2 linked regions of the Zea mays genome follow. The protein of the gene in region 2 interacts with the protein of the main gene of each other region in a pairwise test. Links are inferred from orthologs where the notes say so. Each region holds a gene or a part of one and is shown on either strand. Other genes may lie near its edges. The genes, in order: DNA topoisomerase 6 subunit B and DNA topoisomerase 6 subunit A3-like.

What was found.
Region 1: the proteins of DNA topoisomerase 6 subunit A3-like (region 2) and DNA topoisomerase 6 subunit B interact in binary tests that used the Arabidopsis thaliana proteins (3 or more experiments, as listed by UniProt). The link is inferred for Zea mays from reciprocal best matches to the Arabidopsis thaliana genes RHL2 and TOP6B.

Annotation. Positions count from the first base shown.
Region 1 is NC_050102.1:81,024,651-81,034,389, reverse strand, and holds the start of DNA topoisomerase 6 subunit B, read right to left. Parts: upstream 5,832-9,739; 5' UTR 5,679-5,831; coding exon 5,525-5,678; intron 5,426-5,524; coding exon 5,373-5,425; intron 5,079-5,372; exon of another isoform or gene 5,052-5,078; coding exon 4,954-5,051; intron 4,862-4,953; coding exon 4,756-4,861; intron 4,623-4,755; coding exon 4,488-4,622; intron 4,398-4,487; coding exon 4,346-4,397; intron 4,223-4,345; coding exon 4,158-4,222; intron 3,305-4,157; coding exon 3,198-3,304; intron 2,341-3,197; coding exon 2,238-2,340; intron 2,163-2,237; coding exon 2,077-2,162; intron 1,996-2,076; coding exon 1,799-1,995; intron 1,458-1,798; coding exon 1,342-1,457; intron 1,245-1,341; coding exon 1,159-1,244; intron 1,069-1,158; coding exon 996-1,068; intron 1-995. UniProt on the Arabidopsis thaliana protein: Component of the DNA topoisomerase VI involved in chromatin organization and progression of endoreduplication cycles. Relaxes both positive and negative superturns and exhibits a strong decatenase activity. The B subunit binds ATP.
Region 2 is NC_050096.1:43,344,156-43,353,517, reverse strand, and holds DNA topoisomerase 6 subunit A3-like, read right to left. Parts: upstream 4,504-9,362; 5' UTR 4,399-4,503; coding exon 3,088-4,398; 3' UTR 3,071-3,087; intron 2,852-3,070; 3' UTR 2,436-2,851; downstream 1-2,435. Other genes in the region: Thioredoxin-like protein AAED1, chloroplastic, read right to left, coding at 6,150-6,209, 6,381-6,441, 6,554-6,645, 6,741-6,820. UniProt on the Arabidopsis thaliana protein: Component of the DNA topoisomerase VI involved in chromatin organization and progression of endoreduplication cycles. Relaxes both positive and negative superturns and exhibits a strong decatenase activity. Involved in cell-elongation processes.

The sequences.
Region 1 (9,739 bases), on a different chromosome or scaffold from region 2:
GGGGTCCTTGATTTGCTGCCTATAGTACTCGTGCGTTCATAAAAAATATTATGCGGAGAGCGGAGACAATCAATAAAAAATCTTGAGATCTTTTTGGTGGATAGTTTATGTGGGTATTGTTGTGAGCAGTCGCAACGCACGGGCAACCGACTAGTATATATGCAATGTATCAGGTGCACACTAGTACTTCTGTGCAAACTAACTAACAAAAGTTACAAAAAATATGGATGTACTTCTTTGCCCACTCTACCACTGTATAAAATTTCAATTTCAATTTCGTCATATATTAAAGGATACAAAAAAAGAATTCTGAGATAATTTGCACTTTTTTGTGTCTCAAAAAAATTCTCTTTTTATCTCTTAACTTATGATGAATTTGAACCTAAAATTTTACACAGTGGTAGAATAGGCAATGAAGTACATCTATAATTTTTTTGAGAATTTTTTGTGACTTTTGTTAGTTGATTACTTGGTTTGCATGGAAAATTGGATTGCACCTGATATGTTGCCATAATGCCATATATATATGCTATTTGACACCTAGAGTGAAACTTCACTCACTCAGTAATTTTCGGTAATTACTAAACGATAGTCAGTAATTATCCGGTAATTATTGACTAATGTTTAGTAATTACCGAAAATTACTTGAGTGGATGAAGCTTCAACCTAGGTGACAAATAGTGTTGGTATATATATATATATATATATATATATATATATATATATATATATATATATATATATATATAGAGAGAGAGAGAGAGAGAGAGAGGTAGAGACATATGTATAGGAGGTAAGTAACTCCAGCCACCAAACCCGCTAAGTTCGTTTGTGTATGAGAGTTCTTGCTGATCTGTTTGAGGGGCTATTTGCCTAGCATCGAAAATTGCTGGAACCACAAAGGACTAACAAAATACATGTTTATACAATCTTTTTTAACACAATAAAATAGAAGCATAGTTGTTGCTGTAGAGAGTGAAAAGTTAAGTATTTACTTGTTTAACATCTTTTCCACCAATGCTTATCCCAGCTTCAACAATAAATGGGTGACCTTCAAAAACCTGAGGGCTGAATAGAGGACCACATTATGTTATTAGTTTGTTCAAATATGCAGTATTGGAATGCCTTCTGGAATTCAGTCTGAATAAAATGGTATACCTGCTTGCATGTGTCGCAACCATATCAGGGTGCAACTCTTTTATGATACCCAGGCGTAAATTATATTCACCCGCAGGACTAAGACACTATAGAATTGGTTGATTTCGATACCACAATGACCAGTTACACATATGAAAGCAACCAATGAATAACTGACAAATAAAGGTTGAAGGGAGTGCATACATTGCCGCTGGGATCATCGAACTTAGCCTGCCTAAATAATTGATGTATTCGAACTAATTGCTGAGAAGTAAGGCTCTTAACTGCCATTTTTTGACTGAAATCAGGTCCCATCTCCCCTGCCAAATCAAAAATATGTTATATTAAAACATAGAACTGGTAACAAGAACAGTAAAGCCTAGAAATAGAGTAATATAAAAGTACATAACAACAATACAACTACATTTTTAGTCAAAATAGATTATAATAGGAGTTGTAAATGATTTTAGTGGAGAGTAGAATACTTTGAAAAGCAACATTATAAACAATTGAAACTTCACGATCACCAAAAAGGTTCTATTCTGGAAAATTGGACTAAGTAGTCCATGATGTGTTGAAAACAGATAGAAACTATACTGATTTAGTTATTTTTTTAGTTTATGATAACCAGGTCAGCCATAATGCATATCATAAAACTCACCAATTAAACGTTCAGCATGCGGTTTGCTTATGTTCACAAACTCATGTTGTAGAAACTGTAAAAGATTTTGCTTTGTAGTCTCTGCAACTAAGCGTTTTATCAGTAACAAATCAACCGCAGATGGGTGATGCTTTGTTTGAAGTGGAACAGGAGGCATAACGTCTGTCCGGCGTGTAAACTTTATTGTTAAGTTTTTGCTGCAGAAAACAAATTTTCATTCATGAAAAAAATATCAACAGCTTTTGCACAACATAGATAACCATAAACAAAATGCTTACTCTGCCGCATCAGATAGAAATTTAAAAAGGAACTGAGCATATGGTGTGATGACTGCCATCTGACGCATATAATGGAGGATCTTTGACTGCATGAAAGAGATCACATGTTTAGCTTTACAGAATAATTCCTTGTTTCAAATGTTCCAAAACATGCTACTCACACGATGAGTTGTCCAATTTCCCTCAATTATAACTTCAATCTCTGCCCCATGCCAATGAGTTTTGTTCTCTCTTTTCTCATGTAAATGGACATGAGGGATATTTCTGAAAAATGGAATACACCAAAATGGGTCATGGTAAACTGCACAAGTTACCGAATTGACATAAACATAGTTATTAAGGCGGTAAGGCGACATAAGGCGACCGACCCCCTTTTTATCTTTTAAGCGATAAAGCATAAGGCGAGGTGACGCCTTAGTTATATAGATAGATAAATATAAAAAAAATGAGATCAAACATTATTTATATATCACTAATTTAAAGTTAATAAGCAAGCTAGCACTTTTATAAGGTCTAATATGTCCAATTTCAGTCTAGTAGAAGCAGAAAAAAAAGGAAAGAAAGAACCTCACAACAAGTGAGTCCGGCCCAACTCGGCCCAGCTCAGCCCAAAACACAGTTTTAGGTCACAGATGCCAGCCTCTATCTCTCCCTCACACTGCATCTCTCTTCAGTCCCCTCTCTCCCTCCCCCACAGCTCTCCTCTCTCTCTCTCCCTCGGTTCTTCCACCGCAGTCTCCCACCTCCGATAGCCGGAGCACTGCGCGCCGACGAGGAAGGAGGCAGCAGCTGCAGCTGCCACACAGACACAGGTCAAACCCTCTTCTCTGTTTCCAGCTGTCGCCCTTCAAAACCCTACCTATCCCCTAAGCGTCGCCCCGCTGACGCCCCGAGAACACCCTGCTGACGCCCCGCCGGCGCCTTATGCCGCGGCGGACGCCTTACTCCCCGGCGCAAGGCGAGCAAGACGTCTTGCCCTATGAGCGCGCCTTAGCGCTAAAGCGACGCTAAGGCGACGCTTAATGGACGCCTTGATAAGCATGGACATAAATAGAGATAAATAGCAATATTAAGTCAGTACATGTGTTGAACAGACACACAAACCAACAAGCTGTACTTACTTATGAATATCTATGTCCAGGCGACAGAAGGAAGTATAGTTCTGGCCTTTCATCGATGATTTAATTTCAATAGGAAGCCCTGTACTCATCTTTGACCATATAAGTGCCTGTTCTAATCCACAATTATAAGATAAACAGAACATTAGAGCCACTAAAATAATAATAATCCATGAGAATATCATAGGTCACATGTTTATTGTATTAAGCTATTTTACAGAGGCAAAACACGGTGAGCATCTCTTAGGCATGGGATAGATTAAGCAAAAGAATACCATCAAATTTGAAATAACAAACAAGAGGGCAAAGTAATAATAAATCACTTAAAGGTATAATCAACAACAACAGCAAAGTATTTTAGTCCTAAGCAAATTGGGGTAGGCTAGAGTTAAAAACCCAGCAGAAGCCACAAATCAAGGTTCGTGCACGTGGATAGTTGTTTTTCATTTGCTCCTATTCAAGGCTAAATCATTAGGTATAATCCATCCTTTCAAGTCTCCTTTTACTGTCTCTTCCCATGTCAACTTCGGTTTTTTCATGCCTCTCTTCGCATTATTATCATGCCCTAGGATCCCACTACACACTTAAAGGTATAGTCAAAGTGAAAGAAAAGGATGATTATGCCAACTGCAAACAAATTGCTATTATGATTGTAACATTTTACTTTAGTTATGATGAAAGTTTTACATGGCTATGTAGAAAATGAAATAAAAGTACCATGACAAACAGCATAAGACGAGTATTGCTTGGTTGCACACTTGCACAATCTAATGCAAAGTTGCAAACACAAAGACAGTCATTCCCAAGGAATAGAAAGGAAACAACTTCAACATTTCATGACAATGCAGAATCAACTAACTGTTTGCATTCATTCTTAACTATCAAAAAGATACAAAACAATAGTCCACAGCAACATACAATTTAGAAAGCTTCTTCTCAATTGTGTACGCAAAAAAAAATTACCATTTTAGCACCGAGTCCAAATTTCCCACGTGTTTGCCTCAAACCATACTTTGTGCCCGACAAAACTGCACCAATGTAAATAACTCCAATGATATTGGACATCGTGGTACTATCTCCTCTCCAAGTAAGAAAGGACCAAACTGTTTGAATTCAGCAATTACGGATTAAATATACCATTAAAAACTTACCTCTCCCAAGCATATTTGGGATATCATCATGTGGCATACCTCTACCATTATCCTGCATCCGTAAGGGGGGAATAATAAAGATCAAAGTTAAGAAAATATATTCTCATCGGGTATATCATAAATCACATTGTCACAACAATACCTTGCAAGTCACTTTGAAAAATGCAGCCTCACCCCGACCTTTTCCTCGAACAGATGGAGCATCCTTAACTTTCTTCCCAAGTGCAGCATTTTTAGCCTGAGATTCTTGGAAACGTGCTTCCTTGGCTAGGCGTTTCTAAGTATTGTGAATCATACAGCTTCATCAGACTTAAAATTATGATAATACAAAGAGGTAAGTTTGTGAAGTCTCACCCCTCTCAACACATCATCCATGGTCAAACTACTACAAACCTAGGTGCTCATCTTACCTCACGAGCCTTTTCTGACTCAAAATCATCATATAGTGCCTCGTCAACACGCTGTCGATCCACTAGCCCAATCATTGTGTTGAACTTGGTCTTCGTGATCTCTTCTCTGACAAAGATATGGCAAAACAAACTTATGGGCACTGTCCCGTACGGCAACATAGCAAAAGACCACAAAGAATACATTTGGGGATTACTTACATTGTAATCTCTATTTCAGGGAGCTCCGATATGGATTCGGCGGAATCAAGGGCATTCTCAACTAGCTCCCGCAACGTGGTGTACAGGGATTTACCAGGCTGACCAGCACCATTACATCAGTATCTCTGTGAAATAATGACTACGATAGTATCTTATAAATTTCCTCCTCAAAAGTGTACTACAACTAGAATGAGTAATATCCTTTAATCATAGTTTTTGTTTGTTTCCCACTGCCAGATGTGGTCTAAGTTTAATCTATAGATAAGAATGTGCTTGAACCAGAAGGAAAATAAAGAAGTGAAATTATCTGTCGACAAGATAACAGGGCATCTCCACACTGATTCTAGCTAAATTTCGCAAACGCACGAAATCTAGCTGTTGCACCCAAATCGGCTAAAAGTCCTTAGAGAACAACTCACATTGTCAAACCCGGCAATGTTCTTGTTCTCAGCGAAGAATTCGGCGGGCGATTCTGCAGCAGAACACCCAGAAAAGATACAAAATGTATAAGATAAACCGACCCAAAGTACTGAAAATCTTAATGAGAAATGGGATCGGGGAGGGAGCTCACTCTGCTTAAGGAGGCTGCTCTCCTTGGCCGACGTCTTGGGGCCGGCGGCCGCCTTCCCCTTCCCCGTTGCCTTCCCCTTGGCCGCCGCCGCCTTGGGAGTCTTCTTCTTGGTCTCGGCAGCGGCGGCAATGGCCTCGTCGTCGGAGGTGTTCATGGCGAGGTCGGATCTAATTGAGACGGTAGCTAGGGTTCGGGTGCAAAATTGGAGAGCGCGATCTCTCAAAAGTCTGAGCCAAATGTGGGTCCGTTTGGGACTTTGGGCGGACTATCGTACCAGATGTATCGAAATGGTCCATAAGAAATTAGACACTCGACATAAATCATGGTTGAAAAAATGGCATTTTTTAAGTAATAATCAATCAACAACGCCGACTTTTACGAAAACTGGTTTTTGCCCGTTTAGGGTGAAAACATCTTCTTGAGAGAAAAATGATGTTTCCAAACTAATGGTTCCACCTAACGGAATTTTATCCAGCTAGGAGCAGCTCCAATAATTATATAAATTTAGCTATCTAAATCATAGATTTAATAAGTTATTAAATAACTTTAGGAGTAAAGAATTATGAGTTCTCTAGTAGTTTTCTAAATATAATTTGAAGTTTTTTTGTATCTATCCACATAAAAAATAAGACACAAATGTGAACAATCATCTCCATTAACTACATAATGCAGTCAACATTTTTGTTTAGTGAGTTGCTAAATAGTTGTCAAATATAGAGAGAAAATGAGGTTAGATAAGAACTGCTAAATTTATAAAACTCGTTTAGAGAACTGTTGGAGAAGAGTTTTTATATTAACTACCTAAATTATTGATTTAGTTTTAGAGAATTATTGCTCTAAAGGGGGTATTTTTTGGGATTATAGTCTACCGAGATCATTTTTGTTTAATTTGTCGGATTATATAATCTGGATAGATTGTAATCCAAAAAAAACACCCCCTAAATTTTAGGTGAAAGTATATATCAATGTGTTGGGACGACTAAGTGCGTGTTTGGCATGGCTCCGGAGTAGAACTCTAAGAAGAAGTTCACTCTAACTCCAGGGTTACAAACTCAATGGAATTTTCAGAGTTGTAGTACAAATTTTTGGAGTACCTGCTTTGCTGCTCCGAAAACTCTAAAAACAACCTAGACGTGGAGTTTAGAGTTATTTAACTGTCACTGGTTATGAGAAACAATTTAAACTCTAGAGCGGAGCTGCTCCACCCAGAGTTTTAGAGTAGAGCTACTCTGAAGTGGAACAGAACCATGCCAAACACGCCCAAGTGACTCTAGCAATCCATTTGAATGGAGAGTTATATTCTATCTTTTTTGTGTATTACTCGCAAGATCCTTCGCTTCTGGTTTATCCAAATTGCACAATTCAAGTATCAAATCATTAAACACCAAAAACTTTCCCTTGCAACCAAGGCCAACCATGTTTTTGTGAGAGCCAAAGCTAGATCTAGTCTCACAAAGGCCAGACACAACAATATTAAACAAATCAAAGTTTGGTTCAACTTCTTCATTGATAATAAAAATATGCACACCAACAGTATCGTCATCACTAACCCTCTGACCACCATGCACCATGGAGTTGAGTAACTGACATGCTGCTTCTACCTCTCCATGGTTAATAAGACCTTCAAGAATCACATTATTATACAATAGAACAACATTGTTGGGTTTCAAATACGCTACATTTTCATTAATGAATGGGCCAACAGTAGAGAAATCTCCTAACCTACAGAATGCTTCTATTATCATCTTGAGCAAGCGAACATCAGGTGTAACCCTATCCCTCTTCATATACTTGAGCAATTTCACAGCCTTCCTCATCTCATTTCCATGACATGGTCCCTCAATTAACACATTATACATCACCAAATCCAGACTGAATCAATAACTGGCCATCTTACCAAACATATCCATGCCACATCAACCCTCCGCTGCCTAGCAAATCTAGGTATCAAAACGCTCAATGTGTTCTCGCTTGTCACATGTCAAGTGCCTCCATCCCCCTAAGCAACTCAACTACATCCTCCATGTTTCCCCACTTGTTGAACGACACAATAAGCATCGTCAACACGTGCCCTCTCACTCATTCTCTGTAACATAGCGCACGCTCTTTAGGACGACACGCGCACGATTTATCTAGTTATCTACCCTCTCATCACTGCACCTCGCCACCATCTCCTACAACTATGTCTAGGCGCCTTTCGTGCGGCCGACCTTGGCGAGCGTTTCGAGGAGGCAGTTGTACATGTATAAGTTTGGGGCGTAGCTAAGCGTCGTAGTCGCTGCATCAAAGACATGGACAACAATGTATAGAAGGCGCGAGTAGTGCCAAGGCGGCGAAGGAGGAACCCAATACGTCGTACGTCATGGAGCAGTGAGAGGCGAGCACATCTGTGGCGAGGTGGTCGAGGTACACATGTTAGTGTGGTGGCAGGAGTGACGCCATGGCATTGAGGGGATAGTATGAGTGGTGGAAGAAGTCGAGCGTGTGGCCATAGGACAGAAGGCGGAGGATGATCGACTCCATGACGGGAGGTGTGAGGTACGCTGCGAAACATGAACAATTTGTCAAACAAAAAATTGTATACATGTCGGCTTTCATGGTTTCCTCTGAAAATGGTGGTCCTCTTATGACATCGAACTTTTAAAGCCACCAAAAGTTGTTTGTTTGTGGTGTATGAAATTAGTGCCAATAATTAGTGAAGTTCTGCAATTTAGAGATTTGAAGTAGGAACAACAAAAGGCAAATATGATATGCTTTTCAATAGAGTGCCCACTGCACATCTATACTGCCCATGACCACTATGGGTAGATGAATATGTTGATGGTGATAACATAAAGCCATGTGAGTTACACTCACAGTGATAATTTTGACATAGTAGTAACCATGATCAACATAATCTCCCATAAACAGGTAGTTTGTATTTGGACAATGGTAAAAGTGGAAGTTTCGAAATATTGGAATACTCATGTTTTCTTTATTAAATCAAAGAAGTGACAGAAGCAAACGAACAGAAAATAATGAGGTACATTTCCACCAGTTCGGAAAGAGTTCAACAAGATCATGAAATTGTCCATGAATATCACCGCATATAGTAACATGACTCTTTATAGGCTTCAACAATGATGATAAAACAAATTGTCCTAAGTCATAAATTGTCTTTATAGGCTTCAACATGACCATATAAGAAATCTATGAATCTAGCATCTAAACGACATAAATTGTCTGAAAGCGACCATCTTATTTATGGTGGACATAAAAACGTGTTGTGACCACCAACATTTTGTGTTTAAGGAGTTCTATGGGACCAAATTTGTGTTATCTAATAGGTTCCACGAGTTGTGTATGATAATTTTATGCATGACACCACCAAATTACAAGAATCGACAATGGAGAAAGAATGGTGGTCGCCTGGCCAAAGCCACGTCGCCGACAACTAGGTTGTCCGACCAAGCAGGGTGACCACTTTGTCTCCATTCCCATCCTGATCATTTAACACAACTCAAAAACAATGTGACTTGTGCATTATTGACATGTATTCAAGCCTAAAGAAGGACATAACATCAATTCATGTGCTTGAATCCAATGGTTAAGAAGAAAACACATCTTTTATCAAACTGTAACATCCCAAATCCATCATTTGAAAAAACAAAGTTTATATTATTAATTACCAGTAGAAAGAAAAAATATTTATATTAGCAAATAAAGAAATGGTGATATAATTAAATTGAACAATTTCTTAAATAGTAAAATTTTATCAAAGTGTTTGATGCATTCTTGTCGAAGCATATATTTTGTTTGATTTGAATTTCAAATCCAATTCTTGGATTTAGTTGTGTGAGAATGATCTTGTTTTATAAGTAATAATGAATTGTTACAACAATATTTTTTAATGTGTATTTTATTATGTTAATAACTTTTGTTGTGAGTATTCACAAAAAGCACAACAAATAACATTTTATTGATTTTATCCCTTTTGTGAACCAAATTTATTTAAAAATAGATTTTTGTCTAAAATGTTTATTCTAAGATTTGGGTATTTTTATTTTTTAGATTTATTATGATTTTGTTTTGGAATATTTAAATATATATTTATATATATTTAAGTATATTTTCTGAATTAAAAAACAAAGAAAAATGACTGATCGGCTGAATGACCCCATTGCCCATCCCGTGTTCCTAACTCTCCCTCTCTTCTCTCTCTTACACGTAGGGTCC
Region 2 (9,362 bases):
AGGCATCGTGATCCTTTCACTTACGTTGGGGACTTGAAGCGAAGATAGAAAAGATGCGACATCAGTCTCTCCATGTTTAACAACCTTCTGGTGGCGATCCACCGTGTATTGTGACAAGAATTTTCTCCTTTGCTTGACGCATGTAGTCCTCGTATTGTTGTTTCTTATCGGGCATCAGACTTTCAACAGCTGGTTTCAGGGCATTGTCTAGGGAGATATCGGTGTGATCTTTAGAACCGGCCATTTGAGAGCCTGATTTTTAGTAGTTCTTGACACTTGTTCCCCAGCGAAGTCGCCAAAAAGTGTGTCGGCGCCGATCTAGGCGACAAACATTGGAACGAACCACCTGGCGGTGCTCTCTGCGGAGGCACAGACGGTCTGCGGCACAGGGTCAGACGGTCCGCGACCTGGCGCAAGAGCGGCTCCTCCTCTGCGTACGTCCGGACAATCTGCTCCTGAGGTTCGAACGATCCGCGATGGCGCATAGCGTCATCATCTTCGCAGCAGACCTTGATCTCGCATCCCGGGAGAGGGATCCCGTCGGGGAGAAGAGAACCTAGAGTGTGTCTTGGCGTCGACAGGCCACCCAAAACATCTCTAATCGACGTAGAGCCAAAGAGAGGTGAAGATTTTGAGGTAGAGAGAGAGGCTAAAATAGGGCTAAACTAGAGCCACCACTAATGCATAAGGTAAAACGATAAGTAGAGTTAATTGTATTGATTGTGGGGGTTCAATCAGTCCTAGCCTTTTATCTATATAAAGGAAGGAGTTCTAAATCTTTTACAAGTCGGTTTCCAAGTTAATCTCGTATGTTTTGCCAACAAATTCCGCTAGAATATCGAAACCCTAACTAATTCTTTGCACACACGGACTGGTCGCGCCGTCACCGCGGATGGTCCGACCTATAGGGCCGGACCGTCGGCCTGCCCGTTTTTGGGCTCAACAAACGGTATGATATGATACTTGGCATGGTCAAACGGTTTGCTCTATACAACCTGCAAAAATTCGATCTATATAAATTGCTCTGTTCTGCATATTGTTGGACCGTCTTTCCTGCACGTTCGAGTAAAAAAAATAGCATATGACACAATAGTTCATTTTCAGGTGACGTACAAGCAACAATTATGGATCCCCACAGGAGGCCCAGCAGTGTTTAGCACAATATACCAGGAAATGAGGAAAGAAGGGTATGTGGCTAGAAGAATTGTTTCTTTTATACCTTTTAAGTCAGAACAAGTGCTTTTGACTCAACAGCTCTACTCGTTCCATATTATAAGATTGCTGCTTTGCAGTAACTCGTGATTGTATTAAATAAACAAGTGTTTATCTGATACAAATGTCCCAATGTAAAATTCATGGAATACACCATAGATAATGGAAAACTAGAAGTGCTTCAGACTACAATTATTTTGACAACAGACAGGTATCACCAGAGCATGTAATCCACTGAAGCTTTAGTTGTTATCTCATGAGGTATCTACCGCTTCTAATTCCACTGTTCCATTGTAGGAAACATACTGACAGCCTATTTTCTGATAGACTGACATTGTGAGAATGACTAGGATTTCCCTTTGTTTTTGAATTTTAAAAGATTTCCCACTCCAGGTATCAGACAAATGATCATTATCTCAAGGAATTTTAATAGTGGAATTGCGTGACGAGTTGTCTAATGGCAGTGATAATCAAGATTTTTACAATTTGGATCTACAACCTAACAGGAAAGAATCTTTCAACCTGTTTCTTGAGAAAGTCGTAAGTCTTGCAAAAAGATGCTGATCAGAACCAAATTGTCGATGTTTGTGGCCTTCCAAAAGGTAATAAATGACATCCAACTAATTCAAGCTATATGATATGCAGATGATCTGCTACATGAACATAATGACTGATTTTGAATAGCGATATTTACAGAAACCATCACTATGTTTTTTGTGCTTACCGTAATCCATAATACCATGTATTCTGCAGGTTGAAGCTCGAATTGTTCTATCTGTTCTTCGGAAGATCAAAGAGCAATACCTCCTAGGTCATGTTGAGCTGCCACTTCGTATTATCATCACGGATCATGAGAAGACATCAAGAGCTGAAGCTGAAACTACTGCAGTTGACATCGTGCAGGCAATAATTACTGAAACTAGTGCAGTTGATGTCGTGCAGGCAAGAGCTGAAGTTGAAATTAGTTTTGATTGAACCTGGAAGCCGCCCTCCTGTTTCATCAAAATCCAAAGCACCAACAAAATCTAGAGGTAATTTAGAGCAAATATCCAAAGAATTCACTAGGAGACCACAGGGAATGATAAAAATCCCTATTAACTCACTGAACCATTGGTTGAAGAAGAAAGCCGCAAGGATTGCAGTGTGACATTTTCTTACAATAGCCTTTTGGTCCATTTACTATACAATAAATTGGTACAGTTATTCTAGGATTGGGTGTACATATGAAAACAGGGTAATTGAATTTAATTGTCATGTTTCTAAAGACATCATGCATGGATTTTCATACTGCTATATATCAATTTCCAGTACATTTTCATTCAATCCGGGTTATCCCATTTCCATGTCAAACACGGAACTAATAAGCCCTACAGAAATATAGGACACAGAACAACCAAAGTTCGACCAGATAAGAGGCCGAACCAATTTAAATCACCTGTGTTATGTATCAAATTCCAGCACATATCTGGCAGCAATGTTTTCCACAGAACAGTTCTCCAGCAGAAATAAATAATACAACAGCTGGTGTTCAAAAATACATGTGATTAACTAGATAGCGAAGTCTTCATTCATGCCAATTTGGTCCTTGAAAATACTGAGCGGAGGAGGGCATTATCTTGGCTAGGGAAATTACTGATATCTGCATGTACAAACACAATATCAGGTATAATGACAGTCTTGGTTAACTGATACATTTGACTGAACAATCTGGATCTCTGTGTTGCTAATTCACTCATGAGGAAAGGTGCCTAAGTGTTGTGTTGTGCTGTGTACTTGGTGAAATGCACTAATAACCATATCAAGCCGAGCGTGGGCAGCAATGAACAAAGTGACGCGAACAAGACCAAAGATCTCGTACCTAGCATTGGAGAGTTCTCAAATCCAATCCTGCTCCTGCAACTTAAGAGGCAGGTAGACCTCAGTGAGGTACTGGAACCCGAAGGAACTGAGGGCCTGTATCTCAGCCTTTTGCTTGGTGCGAAGCATCGTCTCCAGCTCCTTCACCCAGCCCTCATTCTGCTTCACGAAGTCCTCCTCGAGCAGCTCTTTCCCCACCTTGATATCGTGATCGGTCATGGGGAGACGGCACTGCTCCGGCACTCTGTACTTGTCCAGGTCGCTCGGCCGGACACCGAGCCACTTGATGTCCGGCGTCGTCAGATTGGCACTGTCATACGACATGTTCTTGGAACCACACATGTACACCGACAAGATCTTGAGCCCGTATGGATCGGAATCCACCAGCGCGAGCACTGGCAGCTTCAGCTCAACCTTGAGCCTCCGCAGGAACAGCCGGGTGGCGACATCTGGCTGCCCCTTGGCCGTCAGAATGATGCAGGGGAAGCGGTTGTAGAACCTGTCCTCGGCGAGTCGCATGAATGCAGCGTCCTTCTCCACCAGGAGGATGAAGAGCGCGTCGCTCTCGATGCCCGAGACCCTGTCGACGTTGGGCGGAATGGCCTTGCCGCCGACGCCCATGCGCGTGCAGTCGATCCGGTCCCCGTCGTCGGCGAAGACGAGGCGGCCGACGACGACGCCCTTCTCGGAGGCGACGACGTGGAGCGAGGACCTGGTGCATCCGAGCATGCAGGAGACGTCGTCGAGGACGGCGTCAGACTGGGTCTGGTCGCCGAAGAGCTTGACGTCGGTGTAGAAGAGGTCACGCTTGGTGACGTGGATGCCCCTGCCGAGGACGGCGTGGACGAGGGAGAGGACTCGCGCCGTGATGGTGGCCTTGCGCGCGGTGGCGACGTTGGCGAAGGGGCGCGCGGACTCGCGGCGGACGAGCACGATGCGGTCGAGGTCCGGGAGGTAGACCTGGTTGGAGGCGGCGCGCGAGGGCACCGCGAAGGAGAAGCCCCGGCCGGAGAGGATGCTGCGCGCGGCGGCAAGGACGAGGCGGTTGATGCGGGAGGTGACGGAGGTGGAGTCCTGGTCGGCCACCACGATGTACGAGGAGGCGGGGTCCGCGCACGGGTCGTGGTCCGCGAGGGACCTGGCGGCGGCCTTGGATTTGGAAGCGGAGGCAGAAGCGAGGGAGCGGAGGGTGGCCAGGATGGAGGCGTCGGGGCGGAGCTTCGAGCGGAGGGACTCGGCGTACGACGCGGCCGAGGAAGCACGCGGCTTCTTGGAGCTGGATGCGGCGCCGGCCGCGCTCGCACCGGCGCGGCGCTTTTTCTCCGACATGGGGAGGAGCGAGAGATCGGAAGGCGGCGGAGGGAAATACGGGGTTCTGGGGCGCAGATGACGGCGTCGGCGGCGGGGCTTAGCTCGAGCGCGGCTGCGATTTGGTCTGGTGGTGACTGGTGAGGAGTGTGGAGGACCGACTGACCGAGTACCGGAGGAGGGCTGTGCCGCGCGCGGCGTCTCGGCTGGGCTAAGCTAATGGGCCGAATAGCTTATGGGCTCAAGGCCGCAATGACACAAAACTATAGATGAGCAAACTAGTCATGCTCGGCACGATACGACCTGGGCTCATGCCAAGGCACGACATGACCAGGCCCACGGGTCTATCGGGCCAAGCATGCACAATCATGCGTGGGCACATCCCTTTGAACCATTTTTTCGGGTCAAGCCAGCCCGAAAAGCCCTAGCCAAATAGAGTGTCGAGCTAGCACGAAAACACAATTTGAACAAAAACATGCACAATTTCAACATCCAACACAATTTGAACAAAATATACACAAAATTTGAGTTGTTAATGCAATGTTGTCTCGTTAAAAACCTTTATAGGTAAAACTCATACCTCGTGAGAAACCCTAGAAAGGAAAAAAGTACGACCAACTCAGTTTATAATTCAAATGTTCAAATTTATTACAAGCCAAAGGGTGATATCAAATTAGATCAGAATTCACGACGTAGCCCCCCTTCTCGGCTCCGTACCTCAACGGCCTTGGCGGCACTAGCACGACCACGACGTAGTCGGCCGATGACCTACCAAAGCCCACAAGCAAGCAGCGAAGAGGAGATTAGGGTTAGGGATTGCCGATTGGAGAGGGAGAGCCGAAGAGGGACGTACCTGCCTAGCCGGAGCTCAAAGCCGGAGACAAGGATCTAGTGCACAACGACGCTTGACGAGCCGATAACCGACGACGACGAGATTTGGGTTAGGGATTTCTGGATTAGGGAGGGACCGAGGGAGAGCCAGAGAGGGGCAAGCCGCACAAAAGGAGTGTAGGAGACCCGCCGATGTCGCCGGTGATGAAATTTCGATGGTGGCGACAACAACAGCGAGGCAAAGACGGCGCGACGGGCAGACCACGAACAAACGAATCGAGTGGGGAGAGGAGCAGGAGAAGCCGTGTGGGAGTGGGACACTGGGATGAGACGAGGGGAAGGGGGATGTCGTGTGTGCCTTATGCCCTGCACCCCGACACCGAGGCGGCCCCGTGCCTGCTGTTTTCTGGCGGGCCGGGTCGCGCAGCAAGCACTATGGATAGCCCAAGCATGGCCTCGTTTATTGTGGCGGTCCGGCCCAGGCACGAACCCAGTCGGGCAAAAAAAAGAGCCTCGGGCTACATGCTCATGTATACACACACAGAACATCAACGAGTCTCGCAGAACATCAACAACAACGAGTCTCGTACGTCCTATATATTATTCCTAGCAGATACTCAGAACTTCATCGATTTCTATACAGAACCATACATATGTTATGTACACGCACGAGCTTGTTTGGGAGCAAGAAAAATAAAAGGAATTTGAGGGGCTAAAATCCTCTTGTTACTCAGAATTAAATAGCAAGGGGATTCTAGCCCTTACAATCCTTTCCCCCTTGCTACCAAAACATAAACGTAAGGTTCCCCGTGCGTCGTATGTTACGAAAAAAGAGAGCCCATGCATCCTGAACAGGATCGCTGAAGATTGAGGGCTGATTACAACCTGACTTTTACAACGAGATATAGAGTGACTGTGTGGTCGTGGGGCACACTGATTTTCTAGGAACAGCAAGCTCTCAACACATCCTGCATGTCAGGATCATCTCCGGCTTCTTTGTCCTGTTAAAAGAGATACCAGAAAAGAGAAGTTGCATTCAGTGTGACAGTGTCATAGTATGATAGTATTCTTTTTTCATGGGGAGAACAGAAGGGGTTTGCCCCTATTGATTATATATACGTACTTTATAATCAGAACAAGCGGTACAAAGTTTTCGTAAAAGGGGCACTGACCTTGTGGATGTACAGGATGTTATCGATACCTGGACCTGCAACAATTAACCCCCCTTGATACCTAGAGAAAATGCAATGTATCAATGCTATAAAGACAATTGCAAAAACTCTAACAGCCAACTCGAATTTCGGGTTTACAACAGCAAAAAGGCGAAGCCAGAAGGCAAACATACCATCCGCCTTTTGTCCTGGTGTTCTTCTCGAATGACAATTCCCAGTCCTGCCTGTATCCTTCCCTGTACAACTGTATTATCTTGAGGCCAGCCTATGAAATGATGGAAAGAACCGTTTATGTATACGTTGGGGTTGGGGAACATAAACTACACAGCATGCAAAATTTATGTCCAGTATAAGGGTTACCGCGGGCGTAAAGGTGGAGAACAACCCGAATGCAAATTCAAGAGCGTCATACGATGAGTGAGTAGGGTCAGCATACACTTCTGTAATGTAAATCACCAGATTTGTCATACAGTGGACAGTAGTTCGAGTTTTGCACTAGAAAGTATGAATCAGAAAACACATCGTCACAGATTTACACACTTAAACACCTACCAGGAAATCAAGAGAACAATTATTTTTCACATTTATGCAAAAAAGAAATAAAGAAAAGGATCCAGCTGTGCGTTTTTACTTAGCTTATTTATTATCGGACAGTTCATCACGAAACACCCAAATCACGGCTCTTAAGGCAGCAAAGCGTCATATACTCATATGGTGATTTGGATGTGCCTTATCGCCTAGGTGATACCCTAACTTAAATCAGTACTTGATTTCGTTTCCAAACAAAAAGTAGGACACACGCTTTACCTGCCGAACGTAAATTTCAGTCCCAGGTCTGTGATTACCTTCATGAGTTGTATATATGCTTGCATACGGCCACACCAAGTCATGGTAAAAGCAACATCAACCACTTGGGTGTTGTATTTATGATAGAGTCAATGGACCTAAGCCCGTTACACAAGAGCCCATTACAAGGAATACACAGATACTAACACCCCCCGCAATCGAAACTCTAGCCACGGGAGATGTTGAGACTGGACCGAAACTCCTCAAACACCGACGTAGGGAGGCCCTTGGTGAAGATGTCGGCAAATTGAGAAGTGGTCGGGACGTGAAAAACCCGCACGTCTCCAACAGCAATCCACTCGCGAACGAAGTGGAGGTCCAGCACGAGATGTTTCGTGTGCTGATGCTGGACGAGGTTGGTGGAGAGGTACATGGCGCTGACGTTGTCACAATAGACAAGGGTGCTCCGCGTCAGCGGACTGTGTAGCTCCTAGAGCAGCTGACAAAGCCACGCCGCCTCGGCGACGGCGCTAGCCACTGCGCGATACTCGGCCTCGGCGCTGGAGCGGGAGACGATGGGCTACCGCTTCGAAGACCAGGAGACGAGGTTGTCGCCAAGGAAAACGACGAAACAGGAAGTGGACCGACGAGTATTGGGACAACCACCCCAATCGGCGTCGGTGTAGACGACGAGGTCAGTGGTCGTAGGTCGGCGAAGAAGAAGGCCGAAGTCGGTGGTGCCTTGGAGGTACCGAAGGATCCGCTTCGTAGCGGTGAGATGCGGCTCCTGCGGGCGTGCATATGAAGGCACACCTGCTGGACAGCATAGACGATGTCGAGATGGGTGAAGACAAGGTACTGCAATGCTCCGACAAGACTCTGATAACTGGTCGGATCAGCCACCGGAGAGCGGGCGTCGGTGGAGACCTTGCCCTGAGTGTCCACCAGAGTCGAGCAGGGATTACAATCAGCCATGCCAGCTCGCTTGAGGATGTCAACAGTGTACTGGCACTGGTGGAGGAACAGGCCCTGGGGCTGACGCTCAACAGTGATCCCCAGGATGTGGTCCAACTTACCCAGGTCCTTCATGGAGAATTCCTGCTGAAGAGAGGTGATGATGTGCCGCAGGAGGTCGAGGGAGGAGGCCGTGAGGACGATGTCGTTGACGTAGAGGAGGTAGGCAGTATCATGCCATGGTGAAAGACGAACATGGAGGTGTCAGCCTTGGCCTCAACAAAGCCCTTTGAGAGCAAGAAGGTGATGAAGCGACTTTACTAGGCGCAAGGAGCCTGCTTGAGACCGTAGAGGGACCAGTTGAGTTTGCAGACCATGTCGGGGTGAGCCGGGTCCACAAAGCCCACCGGCTGAGAGCAGTACACCGTCTATGTCAGGGTGCCATGGAAGAAGACATTCTTGACATCGAGCTGATGCACCAGCCAAGCCCGTGAGAGAGCCAAAGTCAGAACGGTCCGGATGGTGCCAGCCTTCACCACGGGGCTGAAGGTCTCTTCATAGTCCACCCTGGGACGTTGGGTGAAACCCGGTAGGACCCAACGAGACTTGTACCGATCCAGAGACCCATCTGCCTTCAGCTTGTGCCTGAAGATCCGAGGTATGGTTCGCTAGAGGGCCCTGTACTCCATGGCGCGACACCAGTTGGGGCCGACGAGCGCACCACGGGCAGACAACGGCTCGGGTGAGAGATGAGGAGAGGTCGATGCCGAGAGGACTAGTCGAGTGACAGGCCAGAGGACACCAGCGGCCCGTCGCGTGACCATCGGGTGGACATGCCCAGGGTCCTGGCAGAGGGCGACGGTGTGATACACCGGCGGATCCGTGCGAGAGGGTGCCGGGGCAGCATCCCGACCACGTCGCTGGTAGACGTAGACAGGGTCCGCAGAGTGAGGAAGAAGCTGCATCGGCGGAGGGTAGCGGGACCGAGCGAGGTTGCGCGGGAGATGCCAGGGCCGCGTGTGGCAGCGCGGGGGACGCCGGGGCCGCACGAGGCAACGTGGGCACAGGAGAGGTTAGGGTCGCGTGTGGCAACGCGGGAGACGTCGGGGTCATGCATGGTGGCGCGAGAGGGGGCGTGGCCACGCACGGCACGACAGAGGGAGCAACGGAGTTCGCCTCAAGTAGGGTGTCATACTTAGAGGAGGAGGTAGCGTAAGAAGATACGGAGAAAGGGAAGTTAGA